2 linked regions of the Drosophila melanogaster genome follow. Each later gene encodes a partner of the first gene's protein in a complex. Each region holds a gene or a part of one and is shown in the gene's direction. Other genes may lie near its edges.

Evidence for each region. The genes of interacting proteins can lie anywhere in the genome.
Region 2: Clp (region 1) and Cpsf73 share a complex: the UniProt entries of both Drosophila melanogaster proteins name them as parts of the cleavage and polyadenylation specificity factor (CPSF) complex.

Annotation. Positions count from the first base shown.
Region 1 is NT_033779.5:818,439-823,873, forward strand, and holds Clp (clipper), read left to right. Parts: upstream 1-1,525; 5' UTR 1,526-1,640; coding exon 1,641-2,531; 3' UTR 2,532-2,771; downstream 2,772-5,435. Other genes in the region: PGAP2 (Post-GPI attachment to proteins 2), read right to left, coding at 69-205, 266-896; CG3662 (uncharacterized protein), read left to right, coding at 3,114-3,221, 4,420-5,131, 5,199-5,338. UniProt on the Drosophila melanogaster protein: Component of the cleavage and polyadenylation specificity factor (CPSF) complex that plays a key role in pre-mRNA 3'-end formation, recognizing the AAUAAA signal sequence and interacting with poly(A) polymerase and other factors to bring about cleavage and poly(A) addition.
Region 2 is NT_033777.3:18,659,212-18,667,618, reverse strand, and holds Cpsf73 (cleavage and polyadenylation specificity factor 73), read left to right. Parts: upstream 1-4,066; 5' UTR 4,067-4,163; coding exon 4,164-4,231; intron 4,232-4,287; coding exon 4,288-4,449; intron 4,450-4,511; coding exon 4,512-5,803; intron 5,804-5,864; coding exon 5,865-6,307; intron 6,308-6,370; coding exon 6,371-6,460; 3' UTR 6,461-6,498; downstream 6,499-8,407. Other genes in the region: CG31231 (uncharacterized protein), read right to left, coding at 1-397, 462-558, 627-2,165; Gos28 (golgi SNARE, 28 kDa), read right to left, coding at 2,449-2,551, 2,622-3,010, 3,552-3,736, 3,802-3,823; CstF64 (cleavage stimulation factor 64 kD subunit), read right to left, coding at 6,592-7,714, 7,778-7,914. UniProt on the Drosophila melanogaster protein: Component of the cleavage and polyadenylation specificity factor (CPSF) complex that plays a key role in pre-mRNA 3'-end formation, recognizing the AAUAAA signal sequence and interacting with poly(A) polymerase and other factors to bring about cleavage and poly(A) addition.

The DNA of each region.
Region 1 (5,435 bases):
CACAATACTCGAGGACGACTGGCTGGCTGAAATGGCGGCGCAGGCTGGGTTTGATCTAGTTCATTGGTCTACGATTGTGATAGGTAGAGACCGTGCTTGGCATCACACACCACATTCAGGGCGTAGAAGTCCCAGTAGGAGGTCATGTGGAACCCCATGTTGGTCAGCACCACGATGTACTCGAACAACGCGAAGAAAGTATAGACTGTGGATAGAAAAGATTCATTATAAGACAATAGTGGACTCACAACCGATTCCCACTCACCTCCCGCCTCGCAATGCGAGTTGTGCCTCACGAAGCAGTATCCTGCCAAGCCAAAGGCGATCACATTCACCAAGAACAGATTTCTCTTGTACCTCAGCGACTTCTCCTCGTGCGGCAAGAGCACGGTCTTCTGTATATTCCTGTTCAGCAGGTAGGAAACCAGCATATAGCACTCGGAACACGCAATGAACACCACAAATGCGTTTCTGTGGGTCTCGTAATGATCCGCAGAGGTCCAAAACGACAAGCAGAAGAGGGCCAGATCCTCCACGACGTTCAAGAAGCAGGCCAGGATGCCCAGCAATCTTCTGCTCCGGCGGATGTGTTCCCGATAGTGCTCCAAGTAGATTTTGGCAACTGCCAAACGGAGTGGTAAATGCAGAAATATGGCCAGTCTCCAGACGGTTTTTTGGGGCTCATAGTTCCCAATGGCCGCCGAGACGGAGGGCAGATAGTTGGTCACATCGCAGTGGGTGTAGGTGCTCCTAACGAAGTCAAAGGTCAGAGACCAAATCACGCAGAAGAAGAAGCCTCCCAGGGGCAAACTAAGAGCCACCAGTGCCAGTCGCGCAAAGGGAAGCCGGAAGAGGACGCTTTTGGGATCACTGAAGCGCTCGTAAGTAGGCAGCATTTGACCTTTGGAGTGGGTGGACTACGTGGGGTGTTGGTCGGGTTGGGTTCTTCAGCGGCGCTCGCTCCTCATTTTTCAGTTCCTCGCTCCCAAATTAACTAATGGCTTTTCACGCAGATTGCTTACGTTATAAACATTGCGAAAAGTTGTAAACAAGTGATCGATACCAGCTGACTATCGGCCTCTGGCGGCGGGGGTGGTTCATTATCGAATTTACTCAGTGTTTAATGTTTAAATTTCGAAGCAATTCAAGTGTTGCTCTTGTGTAAGTGAAATTTTTGAAACTGGCTCGTTCATTGTAGATAAGCCCTTTTATCAGCAACACTAACGGGGCGGATACTTAATTTCTATGTAATACTTTAGTCGCCAACAGTGCTGACCAATATCAACTTACTTTTGTAGCTAAATAGCTAAAATGTTATTAATGGCGGTTTAGTTAAATAAGGTCATAAAAACAAGTATTTTCTTACTATGACTAATCTTATAAATTAAAAACATTTGGAGACTAAAAATATTTATATACAAATATCTATTCCCTGAAGTGGACAGATTTGGCTAATAAACAGCTAGACGGCCATGACTGTCTTGCCTTGCGAACTATCGATATCGATAACGCCGGTTGCGTGTCAGCACTATTCGCACTGAAACAACAAACACGCGCAAAAAAAGAAGAAGGAAACTGCATTGTTTACCAGATTTCGGAGTTTTTCCTCATCTATCCGAGCATCCGCGAATCCGTCAGAGATGGACATCCTTTTGGCCAACGTAAGTGGGCTGCAGTTCAAGGCGGAGCGGGACCTCATCGAGCAGGTGGGTGCCATCCCGCTGCCGTTCTACGGCATGGACAAGTCCATTGCGGCGGTCTGCAACTTCATCACCAGGAACGGACAGGAGTGCGACAAAGGGAGCGCCTGTCCCTTCCGACACATTCGCGGGGACCGGACGATCGTGTGCAAGCACTGGCTGAGAGGACTGTGCAAGAAGGGCGACCAGTGCGAGTTCCTGCACGAGTACGACATGACCAAGATGCCCGAGTGCTACTTCTACTCGAGGTTCAACGCCTGCCACAACAAAGAGTGTCCCTTTTTGCACATCGACCCGCAGAGCAAGGTGAAGGATTGTCCGTGGTACAAGAGAGGCTTCTGCCGCCACGGTCCCCACTGCCGGCACCAGCATCTGCGCCGTGTCCTGTGCATGGACTACCTAGCCGGCTTCTGCCCCGAGGGCCCGTCCTGCAAGCACATGCATCCGCACTTCGAGCTGCCCCCGCTGGCGGAACTGGGTAAGGATCAGCTGCACAAGAAACTGCCCACGTGCCACTATTGCGGCGAGCTGGGCCACAAGGCCAACTCGTGCAAGCAGTATGTGGGCAGCCTGGAGCATCGCAACAATATCAACGCAATGGATCACTCCGGCGGACACTCGGGCGGCTACTCTGGACACTCCGGCCACATCGAGGGTGCCGATGACATGCAATCCAATCACCACAGTCAGCCGCATGGTCCCGGCTTCGTCAAGGTGCCCACGCCCCTGGAGGAGATCACCTGCTACAAGTGCGGGAACAAGGGCCACTACGCGAACAAGTGTCCCAAGGGTCACCTCGCCTTCCTCTCTAACCAACATAGTCATAAGTAGGACGCTCTGCTCTGTATGATTAGACTGTAAGAGTGCAGAAATAAAGGTCGAAAGCGGTCTGCATAGTCCGCTGTGTAGTCCAGAGGTCGTAGGTTCCCAACTTCCGCAGGCGAACGTTTCAATCATTCTGTGTTTAAAGTGTATGTTAAGAAACTCATTTGCATTTTTGAAAAAAGTCCCTAGAACTGCCAGTAGAACGTATTGTGTTATCAGCGAAATAAACTTCCATAAGATACAAGTAAGCAATTCGTTTTGGAAGGGAGTTTAGTTGTATGTTTTGGGTTTTCTCCAAAAATATAAATGTATCATGTTTTTTCGTTTGTAAGATAACAATTTGTGCCTCACAATTTTTTTTCGGATTCAAGTTTCGAATTTTTGGGCGGCGAATCGTCTTTTCCAAGTTTGCAACCACTCTAGAGTTGCCTCACTTTTGTCCACATCTTTTGAAAGGCGAATTAGAACTGGTCACACTGGCTTGTCTGGATCGAGATTTCAGCTCGTCAACAATTGCGCACTAAATTTTCAGTAAAAACAAACAAGTTGGTCGTGCGGAGGCATCAAGAACACAGCATACGAGCAGCCATGACAATTCTGGGAAAACTGCGGGGACAGCCCACGGACCAGGAGAAGGTGCCCCTGCCCATGAACCTCAACGACGAGGCGCTCATGCACCATGGCTCCCTAATCGCAGTGAGTTTTGCTTGGCATCGCATCTGCGGGATGTGTCCTTATTTTTGCGCAATCGTGCTATGTCCTTGTCCATCCCTCGCGCCCTGCCCGCCACCGTGTCCTTCGTCCTGCGGCCCGAGAGCCACAAGTCTCGTGATGGGTGGGTGGTTGGTGCTGATTCCGATTCGGAATCCATTCCGAATTACAGCCTCAGCAGCAGCAGCTCGCCATCGATTTTTCCCCGACCAAGCTCCGCACTCCTTGGTGTCCTTGTGGCCCGTGCTTCCCCTTACCCCCCTGCCCGCATGCAACCCCTGCTCCACTCCAAGTGACGTGTGCCCATTCACTTTCCTGGGCTTTCCGCGCCAAGGACTCGCTCGCTCGCTCCCCGAGGTCAGCGCGAAGGGTTTTCCTGTTGCTGGTGGAGATTGGCCCTGACGGCTGGGGAAAGCCACTTACGGTGCCAGTTGCAGCCCTTTGTGAGCTGCTGACACTGTGCACTTTGACCTCGATTCGTGTGCACGGGTATCCAGAGAAAGTCGTGTCTTATCAGCTTGCTGGTCATAAGCACAATCATTCCCAGCTGCCAGCTCCCATCTCCCATCTCCCAGCATATTTGCCCATCTGCAGTTTATTTATTTAGTGTAGATATCACTAATTTTCCAGAGATTTATATACAATCATACATTTACATATGAGTTATGCACTACATAGTCGAATAAGGTCCACTCTAGTGCATGCAAATGCCTTCAATTGATTAATTTTTTGCAAGGGGATCTCTTCTGACCCCTCCTTAGACTAATCTCTCGCTAACGACGTATCTTTCGAAACAATTTTGACTTAGCAATGCAATTGCATTGTTTATAGAACAAGAGAAGGCATTGCAGTGAAAAATTATCTTGCTGAGCTGGCGGAAAATATAAATGTGTGATTAATATTCAGCAAGCTCAAACCTTTCGACTTGTGGAACTTCCACTATCAACATTACAGTCAACTGCCTTCTATTTGTATTTTTCTACGACTTATCGTCGTTTTTATGACTTTCCACTGGAACAATGGGTGATAAGGAAACAGATATAACAAGTCGGTCATTTTAGATAACTTTAGATTGTATATAAAACTGCTACTTTTCCATTGCAATTTGTTGTTCCTACAAAATTGCAAGTGACACTTAGAGGAGTATCCCATATTTTTAAAACCCCCCATTTTCCACACACAGCCCAAGGTTGCTTACAGCGATAATGAAGCCGACGCGGAATCCATGGTCTTCAACCGGCCGCAGCACCATTGCATCAAATCCTTTCTGCTGTTCCTGATCGCCGTAGTCGTGATGCTCCTGGGTGTCCTGGGCGGATGGACCCTGTACCGAGTGTACGCTCCGTCGCATAGCAGCATGCGCTACCACGCCCTGTGCGAGATCCCCTATCCGGAGGACTCGATGGAGATGGCGCGGGTATATCCGCGCACCGTGGAACCGTTCGCCCTGAACTGGCGCTCCTTGCTACCCGAGCTCGCGCAACCGATGCCCAACAGTGGATCGCTGGACGAGAGCCACTTCCGCGAGGACATCGAACTGGACGGTGACAGCGATGACGAGGGCTACGCACGCGTGGACGTGCCCGACTTCAAGGATGGACGTCGTGGTCGCTTCATGCACGACTTCAAGGAGAACCAGTCGGCCATTATCGACACTACCACCGGACGGTGCTTCATCATGCCCTTGGATCGGGACACGACCCTGCCCCCGACCAGCTTTGTGGATCTCATAAAGAAGATGAGCACTGGCTACTACAACATAGATACGGAGCGCGTGCGGCGCCAGATGCGTGTGGTCATGCCCCGCATCACCGATGTCTCGCTCATCTCGGAGCGGATTGCCAACGAGTGCTTCGATATGAAGGTCTACATGATGGAGAAGTTCGTCTCAGGCGGTGAGTAGCAATGTCTTACAGGTGCCAGCAACTTACTGATCCATTCCCATTCCTCGACCCATTACAGTCTCGAAGAGATCGGCTGATCCGCTGCCGGAGTCAGCCAAGTACGCCGAGTTCATGGGCAAGGGCGTCATCGAGTACGACCTGGCCAACATCGCCGAGGTGGAGGCCTACGAGGCCAACGAGGCTAGGCAACAGGCCTGAGCTTTGGAGGAGGAGGAGGATCTTTTAAGCTACAACACCCATATGATAACACAACCTAAACAAATTATTACTTAGAATCGATTTATACATACACAGA
Region 2 (8,407 bases), on another chromosome or scaffold:
AGATACCGTATCGAAAAACTGGACTGGTACTTGGAGTCTTCGCAGGCGCGAATGCGTTTACCCAACTCGTTGCAGGTCTTCTTCATGGCCTGGATGTGACTACGGCGGGCCTGTATATCGGCCATGCACTTATCGTAGTCGTACATCAGGCCCGGCTTGAACAGCAGTCCGCCCTTGGTCTCCAGCTTGTCCCGCTTGGTCTTGAGGTCGGCGTGCTCCAGCTGCAGCCTGGTCAGATCCTTGCGCAGCTTGTTTCGCCGCTCGAATCGATCTATATACTCGGCCCTCGCCTTGGAGAGCATGTAGGAGATCATGTCCCGCTTCTCACGCACGCACGTCTCCTCTATCATGGACTTCTTGTAGTTCGACTGCATGACCGCAACATCCTTGCACTTTTCTATACAATTTATACGCAGGTGAGTTTAACGATTAACTTAAAGTTCTAGAGTTCATCAATTTACCCTCTAGTTGCTTGCTCAACTGTATTATGGATTCGTTGGCGCACAGCATTTGCGAAATGGTCAGCGTCTCGGTAACACGCTCGAATTTCATCACTTTCTGCGAGAGAAGAATATACTCGTATTTTTCCAACAAGATTGTAAGTTCCTAGCATCATTCGTCCTTACCTCATCCACAAATGCCAGGTTGTGAAGGTTCAAGTTGAGCTCGTAGCGCTTCTCGCTGATCTGGTTGCGAAGATCCTGCATGCGCCTAAGATCGTTGTCCAGGGCGCGCCTCAAGCGATCCATGTCCTTGCGGATGAGGGTCTTGCGCATGAATCCCTCCAGACGCTGCTCTTCGTTGAAGGCGAGAACAGAATACGAGTTAAGCTCCAGCATGGCGCGCGACGCACTGTGTCCGTTCTTGATCTTGATCAGCTTTACCCGCTCCATCAGATTGTCCACCGAGTTGAGGGCATTCATGTAGCGAATAAACTCGCCAGCAGCATCTTCCGGTGGCAGTGGCTGAAAGTTGTTGAACTTGCGATTGCGACGGAAGTAGTCACAGACGACATTGTTGAGGAGGGTGTTTTGGTACTTCTCGAAGGTGTAGTCGTCTACCAGACGCTGCAGCTCCAGCAACATCTTGCGCTTGTCCAACAGGTTCTCCTTGTTCTTCTCGGCGTTCTCCGCATTTTCCACCACGGTATTGATAAGATTGTTCAGGAAGTCGACAGTGAGGCGATACCAGAAGGGCTCTTCGACGGGGACGTGCAACTCCTGGTGGGTCTCCATCTCCGCATCGACGGCCTCGGTGAACATGGCCATGGTGTCCACTTCCTCCCCAATGACGACCTGTTTTTCTGTCGGCTCTTGCTCATCCGGCAGATCATCCATCAAAATGGAATCGTCGTCCTCTTCCGACTCAGCCGCCGCATTTATAGCAGTGCTAGCATCCTTATCGGAACCCGAAGAGCTCCCCGACTCGCCCTCGCCGGCATCTGTGCCATCCTTGTGAAATACACCATCATCTGTGTCCGCCTTGGTGTCGGATTTGTCCTGAGCGCTTAACTCCGGTTCAGGTTCTGGTTCCGGCTCCGGATCGAGTGATATATCCGATATGCTTGGCAAACTTTCAAATCCGCGGATAAACTCACTCTTTATGGACACTCCCAGCCTGGGCAAGGGCTCATCAAAGCTGCCTTCCGAATCGAGATCCTCTTCGATTTCCTCTTCGACGACAACGCTTGGGGGCTTTTCGTTAAGGATGGCCTTTATATCTTCGAAGTCATCTTCGGAATCCTCTCCGCCCGATTCCACGGAATGAAGTTCCTCCTTGTCCTCGTCTTCCGGCATCTCCTCAGATTCTATTGGAGCTTTAGCCAACGCAGCCTTCGCAGCCTCTTCCTCGTCTTTTTTGGCAAGCCTTTCCTTAATTCTCTGGAGCTTTTCGCGCTTTCGTTCGTCGGCGGTAGCAAGACCCTTGTGTTTAGCTCCAGACTCCTCCCCTTCCTTTGAGGCTTCGTCATCCTCGGCTGGCAACACCGTTTCGCCTTCTCCTTCTATTTGATCTACGTTAGCTGTCTCACCTTGGATTTCTGCACCCTCCGCCGCTTCCGCGATCGTTACTAGTTTGGGAGCATCCTCCGCGGCTGGAATCTCCGCGGGTGGAATCTCCTCGGCATTGTCTATGGGGGCAGCCTCTTCTGGTGCATTTTCAGCCATCTCTGTGCAATTGAAGTCGTTTCAATAACGTAAATGTTTTAAATGTTTTGGGTTTCTTTTTGGTATATACATAAGTTGTTATGTTTGCTGTTTGCCTAAAATTATTAACTGCTGCTTGAGATTAGAATCAATGGCTGTTGGGTTTTGTCTTATATAGTACATTTTATTGCTATCACAAGTTAATCATACACATATACCGTCGGAAAAAACAAACTAAAATTCAATTGTCTGTAATGGAGTTTAATGCAAGCTCTATCTTTGGCCAAATCGCGGTGGCGGGTCACTAGTTGAAGGCGTAGAGCAGCAGCAAGATCACACAGAAGCCAATAACTGCTCCCAGGATCAGCGAATCGCGTCGCTTTTTAATGTTGATGCGCTGAATGAGACTGTGCATATACAACAAATAATTGGATAAGTAAATATGCATAAATTGAATTGAGAACTCGTCTGTCTCACCTGGAAATCAGTGGGAATCGATTGGAGATATCGTTAAAGCGGGTCTGCAGCCGCTTGAATGCTTGTCGCTGGGCGTGAAGATGGTCACGCGTCTCAATCGCGATATTTATCTGATCGTTGACCAAGTGACTGGCGCTGTTGAGGTGCCCGCTCTCCTTCAGGTACATTTCTCGCCGGTTTAGGCCCGAGATGGATGGACTGCCGGAGCTGGTGGCCAACCCTGAGCCACGAAGCAGCTCCTCTCGCTCGATTCGCATTGTGTGATTGGCGCAGATCTTATTGAACTCCTGGCGATACCCCTGCAGGATCTCTCGATGCCTCTGCAGTGTGTGCATGGCGGCTGCTCCAGAGGCGGGCAAATCGGACATGGACTCATTTAGCGAGGATAGCTGCAATTAAGAAGGATGAAATAGAAATGAAATCCTTCTATTCTATAGAAATTCTATAGATATGGGAATTGCCTAAAAAACGTAGATAACTTAACAAGCAAAACAATTTGAACATTTTGTGCTTCAGTCGGTGACTCATTCATTACTTGGAATTATCTATTAAAGTATTTATCAAATGGAATTCATTTAGCGAATTCAAAGAGGAATTCTTAAACATTTTCTTTTAAAGAATTTAGCAAAGATCAGAGCATAAAAAAAACTCGAATAATAAAGTATAATATATATACAGATTCATAAAAAATTGGAAAGTGATGGAATGTTTTCAATATATATAAGTTAATCGTGGCAGTTTTTCAATTGTGTGCTCAATTCTGCCAATTAAATTATGATTTTTGGGAAGGCTTAGTGGGAAATTAGTAATTCATAGTAGCACAAAGCCGGTGGCACAGAAATTTGCTTAATAAATAAATAAGGAATCCGCACTACATTGTTTCGGGTTTAATCCCTGCACCATCGCATGGCATTGGGTCACATATCGCACCTTCTCCAGCATTTGCTCGATCTCCTCCGACAGCGAATCGAAGACGTGCTCGCCCAGGAGCGGCGATGTGTCAACGCCTCCTAGTCCTCCACTTCCACCTCCTCCACTGCCAGCTCCGATTTTGCTGAATGCCACCAGCTTCAGGTCGATCTCGTTTTCCAGGCTCCGCGCCTGCTTCCTGAGCACTGTGCGGGAGGTCGAGAGGAGAGATAGCTTATATGGAAGGTAACCATTAAGTCCCACTGCTCACCATCGTAGCTGGATCCTCCCATTTGTCAAAAATAGTTTTCCTTTATTTGTTCGACTTTCGTGTGGCAATCGGTGTGACCAGGTCAGGCGGGGCCCAAGTGGAATGAGTTGAGAGTATCGGGAAAGATTAATAGCCAGATTTAATCTAGGCCCTACTTAATGAACAAATGTTTACGAGAAAATTAAATTGTCCTAATAACTTAATGTTAATGTAAAAGGAAAAAGTACAATGTTCTTTTCCAGCCCTTGTGTGAACAGGTCCATACCGGCAGTCATCAAACTTTGGTCACACTGCCGTGCACAGCGTTTTGTTGCCGGCGATTTGTAAAAAAGTTTGTTATTGATTACATTATTTTAGACATCATGACGCAGGCAACAGGTGATGCACGCATGCCAGACGAGGAAAGCGACCTGCTGCAGATCAAGCCACTGTAAGGAATCTTGATTTAAACCAGATAGAAGCTCAAGGGTAACGCTTATATTTCAGTGGTGCTGGCCAGGAAGTGGGACGCTCCTGCATCATGTTGGAATTTAAGGGCAAGAAGATAATGCTGGACTGCGGAATCCATCCGGGATTGTCCGGCATGGATGCCCTGCCCTACGTAGATCTAATAGAGGCGGATGAGATTGATCTGCTGTTTATATCACAGTAAGTACTGCGGCGATTAAATGGGCATTGAACTTTTAATGGTGAATGCTTATATTTATCAGTTTCCACTTGGATCACTGCGGTGCCTTGCCTTGGTTTCTCATGAAGACCAGCTTTAAAGGCCGCTGCTTTATGACCCATGCCACGAAAGCCATTTACCGATGGATGCTGTCCGATTACATCAAGATCAGTAACATATCCACCGAACAGATGCTATACACGGAAGCCGATCTGGAGGCCTCCATGGAGAAGATCGAGACGATCAATTTCCACGAGGAGCGCGATGTGATGGGCGTACGCTTTTGTGCCTATATTGCTGGTCATGTTTTGGGTGCCGCCATGTTCATGATCGAGATTGCTGGCATCAAGATCTTGTATACTGGTGACTTTTCGCGCCAGGAGGATCGACATTTGATGGCTGCCGAAGTGCCACCGATGAAGCCGGATGTTCTTATCACAGAGTCCACCTACGGCACTCACATTCACGAGAAAAGAGAGGATCGAGAGAATCGATTTACCTCGCTGGTGCAGAAAATTGTTCAGCAAGGCGGGAGATGCTTAATTCCAGTATTTGCTTTGGGCCGTGCCCAAGAACTGCTACTTATTCTGGATGAATTCTGGTCGCAGAACCCGGATCTGCACGAGATTCCCATCTACTATGCCTCCTCTTTGGCCAAGAAGTGCATGGCTGTCTACCAGACGTACATCAATGCTATGAACGATCGAATTCGACGACAGATAGCTGTGAACAATCCCTTCGTTTTCCGCCACATTTCCAACCTGAAGGGTATCGATCACTTCGAGGATATCGGACCCTGCGTAATCATGGCGTCGCCGGGTATGATGCAGTCGGGATTGTCGCGAGAGCTCTTCGAGAGCTGGTGCACAGATCCCAAGAACGGAGTGATTATAGCCGGTTACTGCGTGGAGGGCACTTTGGCCAAAGCCGTTCTCTCCGAGCCGGAGGAGATCACCACACTGTCGGGCCAGAAGCTGCCGCTCAACATGTCCGTCGACTACATATCGTTTTCGGCTCACACGGACTACCAGCAGACCAGTGAATTCATCCGCCTACTAAAGCCAACGCATGTCGTGCTCGTCCACGGCGAGCAGAACGAGATGTCGCGTCTGAAGTTGGCCCTGCAGCGGGAATACGAAGCAGATGCAAGCACGGATATAAAATTCTACAACCCGCGAAACACACATGCCGTGGATCTTTATTTCCGTGGCGAGAAAACCGCCAAGGTGATGGGAAGCCTCGCAGCCAAGAACTCGGAGGTGGGAAGCAAACTCTCAGGTGTTCTGGTTAAGCGCGACTTTAAGTACCACCTCTTGGCTCCTTCTGATCTGGGCAGTAAGTAATAGTTAGTTAGTTTCTTTGTAAAAATGTCGATTCATTTAAATAATTCCCACAGAATACACGGATATGAGCATGTCTGTTGTAACCCAACGCCAGTCGATTCCCTGGGGCAGCTCGCTGAGCACTCTAGAGCTACTGCTGGATCGCATTGGAGCCGGATGCGTTGAGGTGCTGGAGGCGGAGCGAAAGCTGCGCGTGTTCGGCTGCATCGAGCTAACTGTGGAGCAGAAAATCATTGTGATGGAGTGGCAAGCGACGCATGTGAATGATGTGTACGCCGATGCCGTTCTTGCCTGCATCATGCAATCGGAGTTGGGCGGAACAAATCTGAAGGGTGCCACAAAGCAAACCAAGTCAGAGGACTCGCGCTTTCGGGAGTGCCTAATCGAGACGCTACAGGACACCTTCGGCGACAACTGCGTGCCAAAAATGTTCGAGGGCGATCTGCTGCCAGTGACGGTGAGCGGTAAACGTGCGGAAATAAATCTGGAAACCCTGGTGAGTGTTCGTCGAAGGTGCTTTTTAAAATCGAAAAATATCGTTAATCTACAATCTTTCCAGGCCATCAGCTGTGCCGAGGATGATGTGCTGCGACAAATGCTCAATACGACGGTTCAGAAGTTACACCAGACCCTAGTCTCCGCTCTTTGAAAACCATTCTATTCCGCTTAATAAATCTCCTTGTGTTGAAATGTTCTTTTTATTAATTGATTCAATGTTGAAAGTACTATAGTATGCATGAGCGAAATGGTGATTTTTCATTTGTTTCAGCCAGAGTAGTTTCAGCGCTGGGTACTCTTCGCAATCTGCTCTTTGAGCATGACAATACTGACCCGTTGCTCGGAGGGCAGCTGCGCAATCTGTTCGTCGGACAGCTGCAGTACCTGCATGATGAGGGCAGCCTTCTCCTGGTCGGAGGCATCCGAGGGCAGGACTCCATGGGCGCCTAGTCTGCTCTGCAACTGCTGAGCGGCCGCCTGCTGTTGTTGTGTCGGTGGCGGCGCTTGGGGGATTCCTTGTGGCGGCGCCTGCTGCTGAGGACCAGGTCCTGCCCTTAACCTGGGATCCATGGGACGCTGGCGCGGATCGCTGGGATAGGGGGCCGGTGGCGCCTGCGGAACGCCCTGCTGCTGCTGTGGGGGCATCTGGGCACGAGCTCGGGGATCCATCAGCGGCGGTGGCACTGGATTGGGTAGAGAAGCTCGCAAATCCTGGTCCATGCCACGGCCCATCATCCTGGGATCCATCGGCATGGGTCCACCCGGCACCATGCGCAAATCGATATCGTTCGGATGGACATTGGCCGGGAAGCCAGGTCCGGGAACGGGCATTGGTGGCTGGGGAGCCTGTTGCTGTTGCTGCGGGATCTGCACCTGCTGTTGCGGAACCTGTTGCTGACCCATCATGGTGTGATTCCCCGGCCCCTGGTGCGGATTGCCGCCCAAGACGGGGGGCATTTGGTTGGCCTTGAAGAGCATCCCGAGCGCCTGCTGAGGGTCCACGATCCTCATAACCACCATGGCCTGGAGCAAAGCGTACGCCAACTGAGGATTGAGCATTAGCATCTGGCGTGCCTCCGATGGATTGCTCACGATGCAGAGCTTCATCTGCTTCATCAGCTCGTACATTTGCTCCGGCGGCAAGGAAGCCACCGTTTTGGTGATGAGCTCGGGAGCATCCTCTGGTTCGCAGGGCTCGCCATAGGGATTCTCCACCTGGGGTCCCTGAAGCAGCTGCTGCATCTCCATGCGCGACTTCTCCGTACACGCGTTGTCCACTCGCAGTGTTCTGCCGCCGATCTCATAGCCATTCAGATTCCGCATGGCACTTAAAGCCGTCTCCTGGTCCTTGTACTCGCAGAAGCCAAAGCCCTTGGGTTTGCCACTTTCCCGATCAAAGACCAGTCTGGGGGATTGAGAATAGGAGGTTTACAGTGAGATATTGCATGGCTCTAAGTAGGGAACTCACTTCAGTGACAAGACCGGGCCCACTTCGCTGAAAATCTCCTTTAGCTTCTCCTCGGTGGCCTCGTAGGGTATGTTCCCCACAAAAACCGACCGCATGGACTTGTCCATTATACTTTGTTCCTGCGCCTTATCTGCCATATCTGTTGTTTGTTATTATTTACTGCACAAACTCGACAAAATCTTAGCAAACGTTGACAAACTTGTCTAAAAAATTCCCTGCGTTCCGGCTTGCTGTTTCTTCTTCTTCCTTGAATAATTTCCCTTACCAGGGATTCATACTTTTCATATACTTTTTGGGAAATAAAGCGGTATGGGACGCAAAATATTAAACAAAGTGTAATAACAGATACGCAAGCCATTTTATTTTATTTTCTTATCTAAACACCTGAGAAAATAATTAACAGTATTGGTCTAATTTTTGGGATTCTCATCCATTGCCATCACTTAGAAACGTAGTATTTAGCAAGAAAATAGCTAAATGCCCTGCTTAGCCAAAAATACCACCACTGCTAGTGCTGGTAAGTTCCCGCAGCCCGCATACGTTTTGCAGCACTCCAACGCCTGGTGTTGTAATTTTTCTTGTCGCAAGGTGAAAACGATTTAAACGGTTTTTGATAGTGAAAAGTGCACC